Linked DNA regions of Styela clava. The protein of the gene in region 2 purifies or fractionates together with the protein of the main gene of each other region. This does not show direct contact. Links are inferred from orthologs where the notes say so. Each region holds a gene or a part of one and is shown on either strand. Other genes may lie near its edges.

What was found. The genes of interacting proteins can lie anywhere in the genome.
Region 1: the proteins of Golgi SNAP receptor complex member 1-like (region 2) and BET1-like protein purify together in Homo sapiens (affinity purification with western blotting; 3 studies listed by BioGRID and IntAct, with this or other methods). This does not show direct contact. The link is inferred for Styela clava from reciprocal best matches to the Homo sapiens genes GOSR1 and BET1L.

Annotation. Positions count from the first base shown.
Region 1 is NC_135255.1:10,596,958-10,604,153, reverse strand, and holds the start of BET1-like protein, read right to left. Parts: upstream 3,052-7,196; 5' UTR 2,923-3,051; coding exon 2,898-2,922; intron 1,411-2,897; coding exon 1,319-1,410; intron 839-1,318; coding exon 782-838; intron 1-781. UniProt on the Homo sapiens protein: Vesicle SNARE required for targeting and fusion of retrograde transport vesicles with the Golgi complex. Required for the integrity of the Golgi complex.
Region 2 is NC_135255.1:20,539,256-20,546,814, forward strand, and holds Golgi SNAP receptor complex member 1-like, read right to left. Parts: upstream 2,573-7,559; 5' UTR 1,703-2,572; coding exon 992-1,702; 3' UTR 605-991; downstream 1-604. Other genes in the region: coiled-coil domain-containing protein 27-like, read right to left, coding at 3,689-5,404. UniProt on the Homo sapiens protein: Involved in transport from the ER to the Golgi apparatus as well as in intra-Golgi transport. It belongs to a super-family of proteins called t-SNAREs or soluble NSF (N-ethylmaleimide-sensitive factor) attachment protein receptor.

The DNA of each region.
Region 1 (7,196 bases), about 9.9 Mb from region 2:
ACATTCTGAATTGGGTGATGTTCAACAAAGAACATTGAAGTCAAGTGTAATTTGAATTTGGGAATGCTGAAAATTTGAAGCAAGCAGTGATTTATTTAATGCAGGGAGGAAGCAGTGAAATATGTAAATCCTATCCTATATTTTTAACTGTTTGAAAAAATTAAATAAAAGCGTTTTTGATCATACTTGTGTGGGACTTAATTTGCATTTCAAAATGATAATTATTAATCAAATGAAACTATTTGGTGTTATTCCATCCAAAAGCATAAATTTCTATTCCCAATATTGAATACAATTAATTTCTATTAATTCAAAGATTGGATTAATTTTGGACATCCCTGCTTGGAATAATTTTTATAAACTTCAACTTTCCCTTGTTAAAGTGAAATAATGATCCAATAACATGTAAAGAGTTGATAAAAAATATTAGATGACAATAGACTAAATATTTCCATCAAGAATAGGTTACCGTAGTTTTCACTTGTGGAGAAAAATATAAACAAGTGCTAATTCACAGGTATGGGAAAATGTTAAAATAAAACAAAAATATATATTTAAACAGTGAACATAATCCAAAATGTTATTGTTTGAAGAGTATAACCTCGCAAGTCAGTTCAGCTTCGATATAATTGAATAGGATGACAAAATATGAATATAGTCATTGCTTTGATAAACGGTTTCTAATTATAGCACCAAGCATACACTAGTTTGATCATATTTATATTACAAAATTTAAATATAAAAACAATTAATTGAGGAAACTTTTATGAGAAACACTTACCACACCATCCAAATACTTATTCTGATCATCGACATCATCTCTCACATCTAAGCTTATCTAGAATGGAGATGTTGTATAAAGAAAAAAGTGCTGTCAAATAAATGACTGAAATTATAAAAAAAATAACACAAAATTGTAACTAAAAAATATAGAACTCATAAAATAAATTGGAATTGTCACACAGCTAGTTAAAAACTAAGTTGTATATATATTTAAAAAATATTTATCATAGAGCTCAATAGCAATTGATACAGAAGATAATTAAATTAGGAAGGACAAAATAATTTTAATCCAATAATTAATAAATTCTTTAAAATCAATCACATATCCCAGAAACATAGTTAAGTTCTAAGTTTTAACCACGAACACTGTGGTGTCAATCATTGCACCTATCTTTGTTAACACAAGATTATTTATTGATAGCAGGCAAGTGTTGGATCTGTTTAATTATATGTAGAATAATTTTCTTCAGTAATTTGGTTATATCATTAATAATCTGAGTTATGCATTGACAGCATTGTATTTTATTACTTATACCATTTTTAATCTGGACACTTTAGAAGCGAGTTGATCAGCAAGGCGATCATTTTCTGACTCCATAATTTGTTCTGTTCCGGACGTTGTCCCACCTGTAAATAAATGATAGAAACTTGAATTGAAAAACTAATAACTGTTGTATTTTGGTTCAACTGATATACAGCATACAAATATTAAATTATATTAATGGCCCGAAAATATACAAGAGCATAAAAACTAGTCAACATATAAGAGAGATTGATTTATCGATACATTCTTTAATTTAAGAACAGACTTAGGTTTTGAAGAAAAAACAGATTCAACTGAAATTCGCTGTTTCCAAAATAACGTGTTCACTTAATATTAGTAAATATGATTTGTAATAAAACGCTGCCATGAATATTTCAGGAGTTAGGATTTAACTGCCTTTGAAATTCAAACGAAACATTATATTCATCTGCATTTTTCCTTTCATGTGCGAACATGAGGAAGCTTCTAATTCCTGTGGATGATAAAACACATAACTATTGTGTTAATTTGACAGCCAACTTCACCAAAATCTAGTCTAGTTTATTACAATTCAACCTCAAATTAATAACGAAAGATGTGCATGTGTTATGTGCTTACAAAAATGAAAATATGTACATCGCATATACACTATTCAGGTTATTCCGGAAATAGCTTGTATGTTGGTATGTGTGAACCACAGCCTTCCATGCGTTGGCATCACTGGTCAGATATGGGTGGGTCTGGTATAGTTTAGTACCAAATGCACTAGTTGGCCTGGCTCAATATTTTTTGCATATGTCATTCCTAATTCCACCTGACTATGTCAAAAAATCACATCATTGCGATGTCACAGTGGAGTAATAAGGCCGAACAAAGTATGTGGATAGTCGTTCAAAACGCGCAGACAATCACCCAAAACTGAGCAAGCTATCTCTCTCTTTTTCTCGTCGCAACGATCACGATACAAGAGAGAACGCCGGCATTTATAAGTTCGTTATCGGCGTCGCAGATTCCATTTCAGGCAATCCTGCAATCCTAACTAAACTTTGGAAAGCTCTATGACATGATTGTGATGCCGTAGTGACGTAATTTTTTGATGACATAGTCTGGTGGGGGTTAGGAATAACATATGCAAAATTCGTTATGCTACGCCCACTGGAATTACTTGTGGTACTAAACTATACTAGACCCGGTATAGGCTGGTTTAATGTTTCAGATGCATGGAGTTTGATTATCGAGAAAGCTGTAATTAAGTTACCCATGCCCATTTTTAACATGCTTTAGAACTGTAGAATGAAATCTACTGTATTTAAGATATTTTTTAAGGAGCTCTGCTCAAAGCAAATTCAGAAGGTCGCGATAACTCACTGCGAAATTAAGGAGAATGATCCCAGAGCAAAGCTAAGAGCAACAACTCAAATACCAAGGGCTACCGGTACCGGTACAATACCGGTACTGTGTACGGTAATGCGCTAGGATTTACCGTACATCTGTACATACGGTACCGAATATATTTATCATTGCCTATACCGACATGTGTCCTTCATGAATTCAAAATGGAAATAGCCCATAACCAAACTAGTGGATTTACCTGAATTTCGATTCCAGTGAGACATCTTGCTGGATGCACGCACTTCAAGAAACTCCAAACAACAAAACGAAGCAACAAACGATTGACGACGTGTATCCTCTTCACTATTCGCTAGATGGCATTCTTGTTTTGTTCAAATATCAGTGACCCATAACCGCGCATGTGAGACTGTGAGCCACTGGGAACATGATTTTTGCAATGGTAAAGTAAAGAGAGAGCCCAAGGTTTAACGTAACATACATGACCATACTTTTACTAGATAAAAATAGGATTCGATTAAAACAATCTCGAATAGCGTCTTGCCCAAAGAAGAGGGTCTGGCCCAGTGGCGTAGCCAGCCCAAAATTTTGGGGGGGGGGCCAAATTCGAAAATTTTAGAAATTATATTGGGTTTAAAACACCCGTTCTTCAAGCGCAAAACAACAACAGTTGGTCAACAAGCAAACTGATTCAATTACTCAGCTGGATTTTTGTGAATACGAAATCCATTAATAAACAATTTTTTATTTGAAACAACAAATATTAACAACGCAATTTGAATAAGTAAAATACATCGCCCCAATTAAAAGTCCATCCTTCGCTTCCCGCCAACTATGCTCGACACAACTCGATTAATTTTCTCCTCGGTGACCATTTCACGGTGACATTGAAGCACACACAAATCAGAAAGGCACTTGGACGTCATTGATGAGCGCAGCCATGTGTTTACCCGTTTCATGCATGAGAAAAACCGCTCAGCCTCAACGGTGGTTGCTGGTAGCGTCATAACAATCTGTATTGCGGTGTACACGCTTGGATAATCTCGAGCGCTCAGAAGAAGCCCCTCCAAACATTCGTCGTTAACGTCGGAACTTAAAGAAGTTCTCCACAGTCTCACTCCATTCTGGAGGTTATCCAATAAATACAGACGCTCTACCTCATCCACGTGAACTGGTTTGTTCGGTGGAAGAATTGATAGCAATGAAAAAAATGAAGGGTTGTCAATGAAGCGTTCCCGAATAGAGCAGCTCAAGCCGTCGACGTATGGGAGATATACGGAACGTTTAAAATACTGGGATGCTGAATCAGCACAGACATTATCGCGATAAACTTGTACTTCGACTACTCTGGGTATTGTCAACTCTTTCAAGCCAGCTATTTCACAAGCTTCTTTGTAAATATTCAATGCGATTTCAGAGTCATTGCGTTCTTCAGCGATAACGCTCTGAAGAGAGGATGTGAGGTTCTTTACTGACGGCACACTGACTCCGACCGCCTGAAGTGCGCGCGCTAGTGGCTCCATTAGTGCCGAATATCGACCAATCAAACATACGGCGTAGATAACCGACGACTTTTCTAGAGCAGATTTCAGAGAAAAAGCCTTCGTCCGCGTCTCACAGTTAGCATCTCTCGCCAAAGAATCAAGAGCCTCAAGTACTCGTTTGAAGTTGCATTTGAAGATTCGGATGCTCTTGTACTTCTCAGACCATCTGGCGGGGCAGAACAAAGGGATGTTAATTCCTAAACCCGCGCGCCTTTTAGGGCTCTCCCTGAAAAAACGAATAGTCTCACGAATGGATATCACAGGTGCTTCTGATGATTGCAACTTTACTTTGATCATTTATGATCAAATTCAAACAATGAGAAGCGCAGTGCACAAATATTGCGCGCGGGTATTTATCACGAATGCGTTTTTGCACACCGCTGACGTGACCTGCCATTGTCGTTGCACCATCATAGCCTTGCCCCACAAGTTTTTGCAAATCCACTCCTATACCAGAGAGGTGGGTCAAAATATTTGAGGAAATTGATTCGGCAGAAACAGAATCCATTTCCACTAATCCTGTGAAGCGCTCGCACACTTCACCACCTTTCACATACCTAAAAACGATGCTTAGTTGTTCTTTCCCAGAAATATCACATGATTCGTCGGCTATTACGGACACAAACGATTTATTAGCCTCCATAACGATATCTTGCACTATCATGTTGCTTGCTACCTTGAGAATTTCATTTTGTATCATCGAGCTTGTATACTTAGCGTTTCCGGCCATTCTAGCGAAATGCCTTTTCAAATCTTCATCCCCTGCCTCGATACGAAATAGAAGAAGGTTCACAAAATTTCCAATACCCCCGGAATGTCCGCGCAAGGGTATGTTACCCGAAGCACAGAACATGACAGTCTTGACAATGGAAGTCATTATTCGTCTGTTTTCTTTTGTTTGCGTAGCATATTGGGCCTCCATGTTTGCACGCACATTTTGATCAGTTTCCATGCTTTTGACAAAATATTTTTCGCAGCTATATTTGATTCTCGGTGGTAATTTGTGTCTCGGTGTGCTACAGCCTTTTCCATAAATTTTTTGTAGTCAATGCATGGTCTTGTAACAAAGGCAGTGTCCCTGAGAATTCCATGCTTCAAACGTGCTTGCATGACTATGCATATCTTACACAAACCACCCCCATCAGAGAGTTGGGTGTAAACTAACCAACTACAAAATCTGTTATCGTCAAGCCATTTTATGAGAAATTTACGACGACTTTGTCTAACAGTATCCAGAATCGTCCCGTTTTTCGGACCATCCGAAGTTAGAAGCCAGTTTCTCTCCGCATCGGTAAGCTGTGTATGTTTCTTAAGAATAAATCCAAGATCGTTTGTTTTCCCTTCGTTGATTATTAGTTCATCTTCGGGAATAGATGTGATAGACGTAACTGACGTAACCGGTGCATCAACAGCCTGAGAAGCGCTTATTGATGTATTTGAGGAAAGCGAGTCTTTATTTCGCTGAAAAAAACTATCGAATTTCGCCTGTTTAAATTTAGCCATCGAAGTAAATTGGTCATCAAAATCCAACCGTTTCGAATAAAAATCCGGCGAGAACAAATCAAGACCGAGTAACAAACCGAAAGCTTGCGAAACGGTCTTTCCCATACTGCTCATAAGAGCGAACGGTCAAGTCTTTGTGACGTAACAATGACAATCGGCAAGCGTGACGAGACAAGATGCCACAAAACTGGTGGATTAGGAATGGAATTCTTGAAAATTTTGGGGGGGGCCATGGCCCCTCTGCCCCCCCTCCCCCCTGGCTACGCCTATGGTCTGGCCAACTGGAAACTAAATTTTGTATACTACGACAATGTAATGGACCTTTCCCCGAGCACCGCCTTCCTTGTTCACTTCGTGAAATTGGCCAATCAGCAAGATGCAAAAAGTGACGTAACAATGCTACCTTCTCGCATCCGCTCAGACACTTCTTTCACTCAGATTTTTTCAGACAGATTTTCAGGCGTGGTCGTAAACATTACCTCGTTTTCGAGTTTTTGAACTCTATTCGTTAGTTTTCAGTTGTGTTACGGAAATTTAAATTAGATAATTCAATGATCACTCTGTCTTCCTATGAGTTTTAATTTGATTGCAGTAATCAAAAATCAGTGTAGAATTAGCTGTGATAGACTAGGCTAAAATTGTTTACCGGTACTTTTGAAAAACAGATTGTTGTATGCACTGAATCATAATGATGGTTTTAAACACATACCCCATTTTACAGGCGCCAACTCGCGAAACCACTCCTAAAATAAGCCCCGACAATTTTGCAATGGTAAAGTATAGGAAGAATTTTTCGGAGGTCAAAGGTCGGGGAAACGTTCATACATTTTGTGAAAATATCTTCAAATTATTTGTTAGCTTTGTACTACAAAACTCAACAACGGCCAAAGTAATTCAGCCCTTTGTTTTTAACTATGTCGTTCAGAATTACACTGATTAATATTACATGTGATTTGTATTACGCGATGTTGGTTATTTATTTACCTATCGCATTAGATGGTTCAACTACCAAGCATCGATCATGAATGATAACAGTTCTCCAACAATCAAGTTGCTAAAACTTGGCTAATGTTCATTTAGATATTTGAACCTTGGGTGTCGCTGCTTGATAACCAGCTTTGGTTCCTCGCAGCTTTCCCTCCCCAGTGAAATGTGTATTCAATATTATTTATTCGTCTTAATTTTGCATGTTAACTTTTTTTACTGTGTGGAAAAAATAAACTTGACTATGACTACTAGTAGCTTCCAGCTTCGAAAAGTGACCTGGAAATTTTTTTTTTTTGATAGTGGCCCTCTCGGAAGCTTGCAGTGAGAAAAAGTGTGTCATAAGAACTGACACAGTGAATTTTAAAAATCGTTCGGAGAATTTAAGCTGTTAAACTACATCAAATATTAGCAAGTTGGCGGCTGAGGGCCAAATCCGTCTCGTTAGATTGCCTTTAGCTTTCAACTGTAGCGTACCAGCCGTCTATGAAATAATTATCCAAGTTCAG
Region 2 (7,559 bases):
TCGTGAGATATTGCGTGTATCTAACAGACAGACAAATACCTATCAACATACTTACCGATTAAAATCGATAAGTAATGATAACTCAAACCATCTTATGCTGCTTTAAGGTCGGAAAAGTCTGTGAGACAGAAAGTGCGTGAATCTGATTACACTGCCTAGATTTGCAAGATCAAACCAAGAACGACCAAAAATCATTAATAATCATCTATTCTAAAATTTGAAAAAAAAATATCAATATTTCTTCGACTTCAATGTACATTTAAAGAAAATTCATAACGGGAGTCTTACCAGAATGACTGAATGTAGCTCATAAAATAGAGCGTGCTTGGCATGACAATCATTACCCATATATCCTCGCATATAAGCCAAGTTGAAAACTAAAAATGCAGCATATACATGCATAACTCTGATCGCACTATATAAAATTTAACTTATACGACTTAACACAAAATTTCACTAATTCCTTTCTGTCCCCATTTGCTTTGATAGGTGCGTACAACGTGTTATGATTTGTAGGGGCGCCTTATATGCTAATATTTATAAATTCACCATTTTAGGACTGTCGAATTATATGCGAGATCATCTTATATGCAATGACATACAGTTTATTATTCACCATATTGAAAATACTCTGTATGGCCATAACATAGAAAATAAAACAGAATTTTAGGGTGAAAGAAAACTAACACTGGTTATCAAGCAGTATCAATCATATTCCCAAGACCCAAAAATCACACCATAATAAGCCAGATATAAATAACTGGGTGGAACCGCAGGGACCCAACTTTTATTCAATAATGGCTATCTCATAGTTGCAGGCAAAAAAAAAATTCGCGGGGCGCACAATGTTTTATTGAAGGCCGCAGGTAGCACACCCCTGATTTAGCACATGCAAGTGCTTCTTATTTGTCTGCAGATCTGCAAACTCCTGAGCCCACATCCCTAGTTGTAAAAGTCAGAAATAATATTTAGAATGCTCTTCTTAAATCAGCTAATGTAACCAGTATATCAGAATGAGTATAATACAGATGGACACAACGGAAGCCATGATAAGCGAGTCCCTTTGCTTCCTCATTTTAATTCGTCGAACGAGACTATTAAGAGCGGGGAACCGATTAGCAAGGTTATTCAATCTCGTTGTCATATTTTTGAAAATTTTTCGCTGCGTTCCCAAATTTTCTTTCGTTGCCATGGCGATGTCGATTGCCTCGCTGGCAAGGCGATCAGAGTTCCTTAAATGTTCGTTTTCTTTTAGATAAAGATCGGTACGTCGACTATTAGCTCCGCTTCCGCTTTTGTAAGCGTCGATATCACGTCGAACTGATCCGATTAAATCCTCCCTTTCACGATGAGCGACGATATTGCTCTTGGTCTTGGCAAATTCATGAGTGTAGTCTTGAAGTATGTCCCTGTGTCGTTGTAGAGTATGCATTGCAGAACTTGGACCGTTAATTGCTTCGCTGTGATTGGCCATCATGTCGTTTACGCCCGTTAATTTCGCCAGAAGTTGTTCGATTTCCATCGCCATGGTTTCAAACATTCGTTCGCTGCTCGAATTCCCAAGAAGAGGTGTATGGTCGCTTGCGTGGCTGCTATAACTTGTCCCGAGTTTGCTAAACGAGACTAGTTTTAGGTCGAGTTCGTTCTCAAGTCGGCGAGCTTGTTTCCTTAGGTCCTCCCATTGGTTCGTCATTTTTCTCATCAAAAATTTCAAAAATTGTTCCGATGTAGAGACCACCAATATTCAAAATATGGAGTCACCCGGTAGAAATTCGCAAACAATAAAACAGAAGTATGATAATATCCCAATTTGTGTACTACAATAATGAAGTATACAGTCTTTTCCAGTCGTCAGCCTCACATAGGGATAAATAGCAACAGTTCCACAATCAGAATCACAGCGTTGGCTATCTTATTTCTGTAACAAGATAAATCTAAAATTCTAAAAAAATACATTTCATTATACAAACTATTTGAAATCAAATTATATGTACATCGCGCAGATTCTCAAAAAAAAGTGCAGCTATAAGTAGAATCACAATTAAAAAAAATGGTGCATTTTACGAAAACTTTTCGCTAACCAGAATGCCTAAAAAATTTAATTACCATATATCCTCCCATATAAGCCAAGATAACTAAAAAAAAAGTTGCCAAACTTACGGGGCGGCTTATACGACCATAGCTCTGATCGCACTAAAGCAACCTTTGCTGTGATAGGTGCGTGCAGCGTGTTATGATTTAAAGGGCCAGTTTTAATGTGAATTTTGATGATTCAACCACTTTAGGGGGCCGGCTTATATTCGAGGATATATGGGTAGTAACATAAGTATAAAAACTCAAAATTTTCACCCAAAATATCAAATTTTATATGTAACACTCCCCCAGCTTATAATAACTCATTAGGAACAATTTAGTGACAAGAAAATTCAATTTTCACAAAATACATTCAAGTTTTCAAGTAATATACCAACTAACAGTGGACGGCTACAAATCACAGTGAAATGTGTCCAACCAGCAATGCATACTAACTACCTTTGATGTTATTATTTTTGAACTTGATGGCAAAATGCATTGAAATAAACCACAAAATCAATGAAGTATAACTTTAACAGAATAGTCCCATTTGAACCGGGTGGGTAAAATTCTGACTGCCCGCCTCATTGGTTAAACCCAAGGAGCAATTGAGCATATATTGACAAAATCATCCTATTTAGAACAGATGGATAAAGTTCTGACTGCCATGCCTCATTACTTGAACCTTAAAAGCAATGGAGCATGACTTTGACAGAATATGCCTAATTGAAACAAAGTAATAAAATTCTGACTGTCATGCTTCATTAGTTAAACACAAGATAGCATATATTATTGACACAATAATCCTATGTAGGATAAAATTCTCACTGCAATGCTTTGTTACTTGAACCCAAACAGCAATGAAAGATATATAGACAGAACATTCTATGGGAATAGCCATAGCTAGAAAGTTGATTATCTGATTCTGGTTCCATGGACTTGGATATATGATAAAAAGTGAAACGCCAATATTTTCACAATGTTGTTAAAAGGCACCCTTGCTTCAATCAAAAAAATATGTTACTAAACTCTACCATAAAAATCATTATTAAATTAATTATCATAAAATTATTCAACAGTGGACATTGGAACTACTACAGTGGCTAAATTAGAAAAAAATAAAATTGATTTGGGGTAATAAATACAGTGATTCAACAGTCTTTTATTACAATTAGGATTCTGCTACTACCATAAATTTGTACATGAAATGAGGTGTAAAACCTATATCTAATATGATATAAATACAGGGCGTTCATAAAGTCTACATCATTACAATTATAAAGTCTGGTCTCAAGATTCGTTTATTTTAATCAGCGTTTATTTAAATTTCTTACATCATTCAATACACCTGTAGAGGAAAACAAACTATAATATAGTATCAATAAATTTCTATTCACACAATTTCTAAATTTTGTTATGAAGTCAGTTCTCAATATACCTTAACCAGGTTTGTTTTATCCGAATCAATGCTTGTTCATTTATTAATTAATACATAATGGCCATTAAATATTTATGGTATAGATAAATTACCTTACAATTTGAGAAAAAATTTAGAACTTTATGAATACCCTGTATAATATGTGATATAAAAAAATTAAAATTGTGCAAAAAATAACTATCTGTGCTTCGGAGATTTTCTTCCTCCTTTCCCAGATTTTCGTTCTTGCTGACTCGTTGCGGTAGTAGCGCTACTTTCTTCGATTTTTTCTTCTTCCAAAGTTGCGTCGAGCTCGACTAATAACGGTGGAAAATCTGCGTTCGTTTCTTCTAATAACTTATGAAATTCACTTCTATCCTCGATTATCTTTTTCACAGCGTTAAAAACTACAATGTCGCTAATCGCTGTGCTTGGATGAGCCGCTCCAGGTGTGATAAATACAGCTTGAATAATTCGAGAGCGAAGACGTTCGAATCTTGTCGACATTTGCTCAGCGGAAACTCGAGATAATTGCTCCAGACGTCGCATATCTTCCAAATCACGACATAGGTGTTTGATCTCCTCCGACTGTTTTTTATCTAGCTCGCCACCTTTTTTAATTTTTTTGTGACTCTCCCTAATTTCTTTGCTCTGTTTGTCAGACTTTTCCTTCAATTTGTCAGCTTTTTGTTGAATCTCATTAAAAGCGTTCTTCAGGATTGTCAACTCATGTTCAGTTTCAGCATTCATATCGCTGTGTTTTCTTCTTTCCCGCAAGTCAGAGAACTTTTTCGACATTGTCCTAGCCTCTGCTAAAGCTTCGTTCATCTGAAATTCGGCTTTCTCAACTTGGGATGTCAATTTCATTACTTTGTTTTCAGTGCTTTCTAAATCACGCTGTAAAGCGTTTATGAAGCCGTCATTCATAACCAATTCTTTTTGCGACGTTTCAAGACGATCTTGCAACTCAGAAATTATTTGCTCTCTTTTAACAAGCTCTTCTCTCATAGCCATGACCTCGTCTTCAGGGGTTAATTTCTCGGGAGCCATCTTGTCGAATTGTTCTCGTAAAGCGTCTGCATCAGCATTAGCGCTTCGTAACGACTCGCGAACACTTTCGACTTTTTCGTCATATTCTTGTGGATTTTTTTGGAAAGAACCCTCTGGTTCAGAAATTGTTGTGCTTGTTTCGTCAACATAAATCAAAGGCTTTTTTGCTCCACTAGATGGCGTACTTGAGCGAGATTTCTGCTGCGATTCTCTTTCTAAGAATTCAATTTTTTCTTGGAATTGAGAAATAATCTTATCATTCTTTTTGCATTCTTCTTCAAATGGTCCAAGACGAACAATTTCGTCCGTCAAAATTTGCGTTCTCTTACGCAGATCCGCCACAATTGCCTCTAATTCCGTTTCTTGAGTCGTTTTTATGACAACATTTTGTGCCAACTGTCTTCTAAGGTCAAATATTTCGTTATCTTTTTGTTTAGAATCAATTTCGAAAGCACTCAAGCGGTTAATCTCATCGCCCATTTGTAGAAGGCGTTCTTCTTTTTCTCTTAGCATAGCCATGTACCAGGGTTGTTCTTTTTGTAACGTCTCCTGGACTTCCGGTTCAACCGTTTTTGGCCGTTCTTGCCGGTTAACAGGGCTTCCACTTTCGAGAATTTCACGAGATGACAATTTAACATGACCCTCTGAACCATATCTGGTTGTCATTCGCATATTTCTCGGCGCCGATTTCGACCTCTCATTTATGGCTAAAGGAGAAATCGGTAAAATCTGATCTCTCGGGTTACCAGGTGCCGTATCAGGTCGTAAACTAAAATTATCCTCGCCGAAGCCGCTAGAAGATCTGCTGGTCATATTTTCGTAAATACTAGAGCCTTTGCGAGAAGTTTGGATAGAATGGCTCATCTTCTAACTGTGGTGCTTTTAATCCCACATGATAGCGAATATCTCAACAAAAAATACACTTTCTGACTTTGGAAAGAACTAATTCACCAGCGAGGCAGCAACACATCACCATACGCAAAATCAACAGCGTTTCCAAGGCGAGGGGTGATTGGAGTCGTCGGACTGACAGGTGGTCCTAGTTCGCCTTTTCCTGGGGATAAATAATCAGTATCAGTTTCGAACCCAGGCAGAGCGACCAGAGGTGCGATGTCAAGCGTATTCCCATTTCGTACAAATTCTAAAGCAGTGATTTCTAACGGCCGGTCTGCGAAGTTTTTTTGTCGGTTCGCGAGAAATGCTGTTGTTTTTCTGCCAAACCGGAGACGCGTGCTTTTTCTGTTCTACATACTTTTAGTGATTAACATGACCATCCAAATATAAGGTGATTCATACTTCTTCGCCATGACATTCAGTAAGATATGAACCTATTGCGACCCTGCAGGTGGTCAAAAGACGTGCAACAAAAGCATGGGCCGCTGAGATCTTTTCCAGGTGAGGCACAGCAGGATTTGAGCTTGGTGACGGTTACGTTAACGACGACTTTGTCATAATGTAATTTTTTTTTGAGGCGTCGAATAACCGCAGATATATTAATATGATGAACCCGACACATTGGACGAAAAAGAGAAAAAAAAACTTGATTGAAGTTGTGATTCTACTTTACAGTCCAATAATATGAAAATATATGTTATTGTTTTTCTGTTCCAATCATATCAAATTTTTCCGTTCCGCGATACATTATTATGCATAGTCATAAATTATTCCTGCTACAAAGTGCAATCGTGTCGTATGTATAATCAATTATGTTTATTAAATGTGTTTTTATCACAAAAAGGAGATTAAAGTCGATAATACATCCCGAATGAGATGGTTGACTTTCGTTTCCTTACACCCGCGATCTCCGCCTTATGATTTCAACATGGTTAGCCAGACCAATAAGCATGCTCATTGGCCAGAGCTATCAGTCACTAGTCCATACTGAACCATTATATTATATATACGCTTTGTACTGAACTAAGCTTGTTTCTGAAATTTTCTGACTAATATATATGCCTTATCTAAGAGGGTAGGCGTGGTCATTTTCAAGAGTATTCCATACGGATCTTTTAGACTTGATTCCCATAAACCAGGGGTTCCCAAACCTATTTAGTCGCGGGCCAAAATTTTAAGGCGAGGATACTCGGGGGCCAGTAAAGGGGAGTGACCAAAAGAGCGCGACGTAACGGCTGGCGCTTGAATGCGCCCTGAAATTTTTTCTAAAAAATGGGCACGAAAATAGGGTGCAAGATTGGTTTTAGATACACGCAGTATCGCAGTTTGTTATGAAATAAAATTAATAAGTATAATAGTTAGATGATAGAATACCCGAGAAATAACAAGTACGACTTTCAACAAGGACTTGCAACTGATAGCGACTAATGAAGTTACTTGCTCATCTGAAATACGGCTCCTTATAAATGGCTACTCATATCATAGTCAAGTTTAATTTTCCATCCAGTAAAAATAACAAACAAAATTATGAGAAAAGTAAAATTGACACACATTTTTACTGGAAAGCGAAGTCTCTGGGAACTGATTATTAAGCAGCGACACCCAAGGTTTGATATCTAATTAGGTTTGTAGTTGACTTTTTTTGAACATGTTCGTTTGACTTTTATATGAATCTAACAATGAATTAAATTTTGAAATACGCCGCTCACCCGTCAAATGATCGTAATTTGAAGAATGCTTCGTCTCATAATGGCGCTTGATGTTGTATTCTTTCAGAACAGGAATAGTTTGTTGACAAGGAAGACAAATCGCTGAAGTTTGATTCTTTTCAATAAAGAAATAAGAACGCTGCCATTTATCCAAAAAACGTCTGTTTTCAGTGTCTAGTTTTCGTTTTTGTGACATCTTCAAGCTTTCTTAATATAGTGCTGATAACTAAAATACTGCCGTACGTAATCCTATTATAATTGAATTTTTATGATTATACACGCGCTCGAATTGTGGTAATGACGTAACAATTGGCGGCAACTAACAATTGACGCAAAAAGATGAACACATTTAAATTGTTAAACGTATTAGTATTTATTCGCTTTATAGTTTCACTAATGTTCGGCGGGCCATTTTA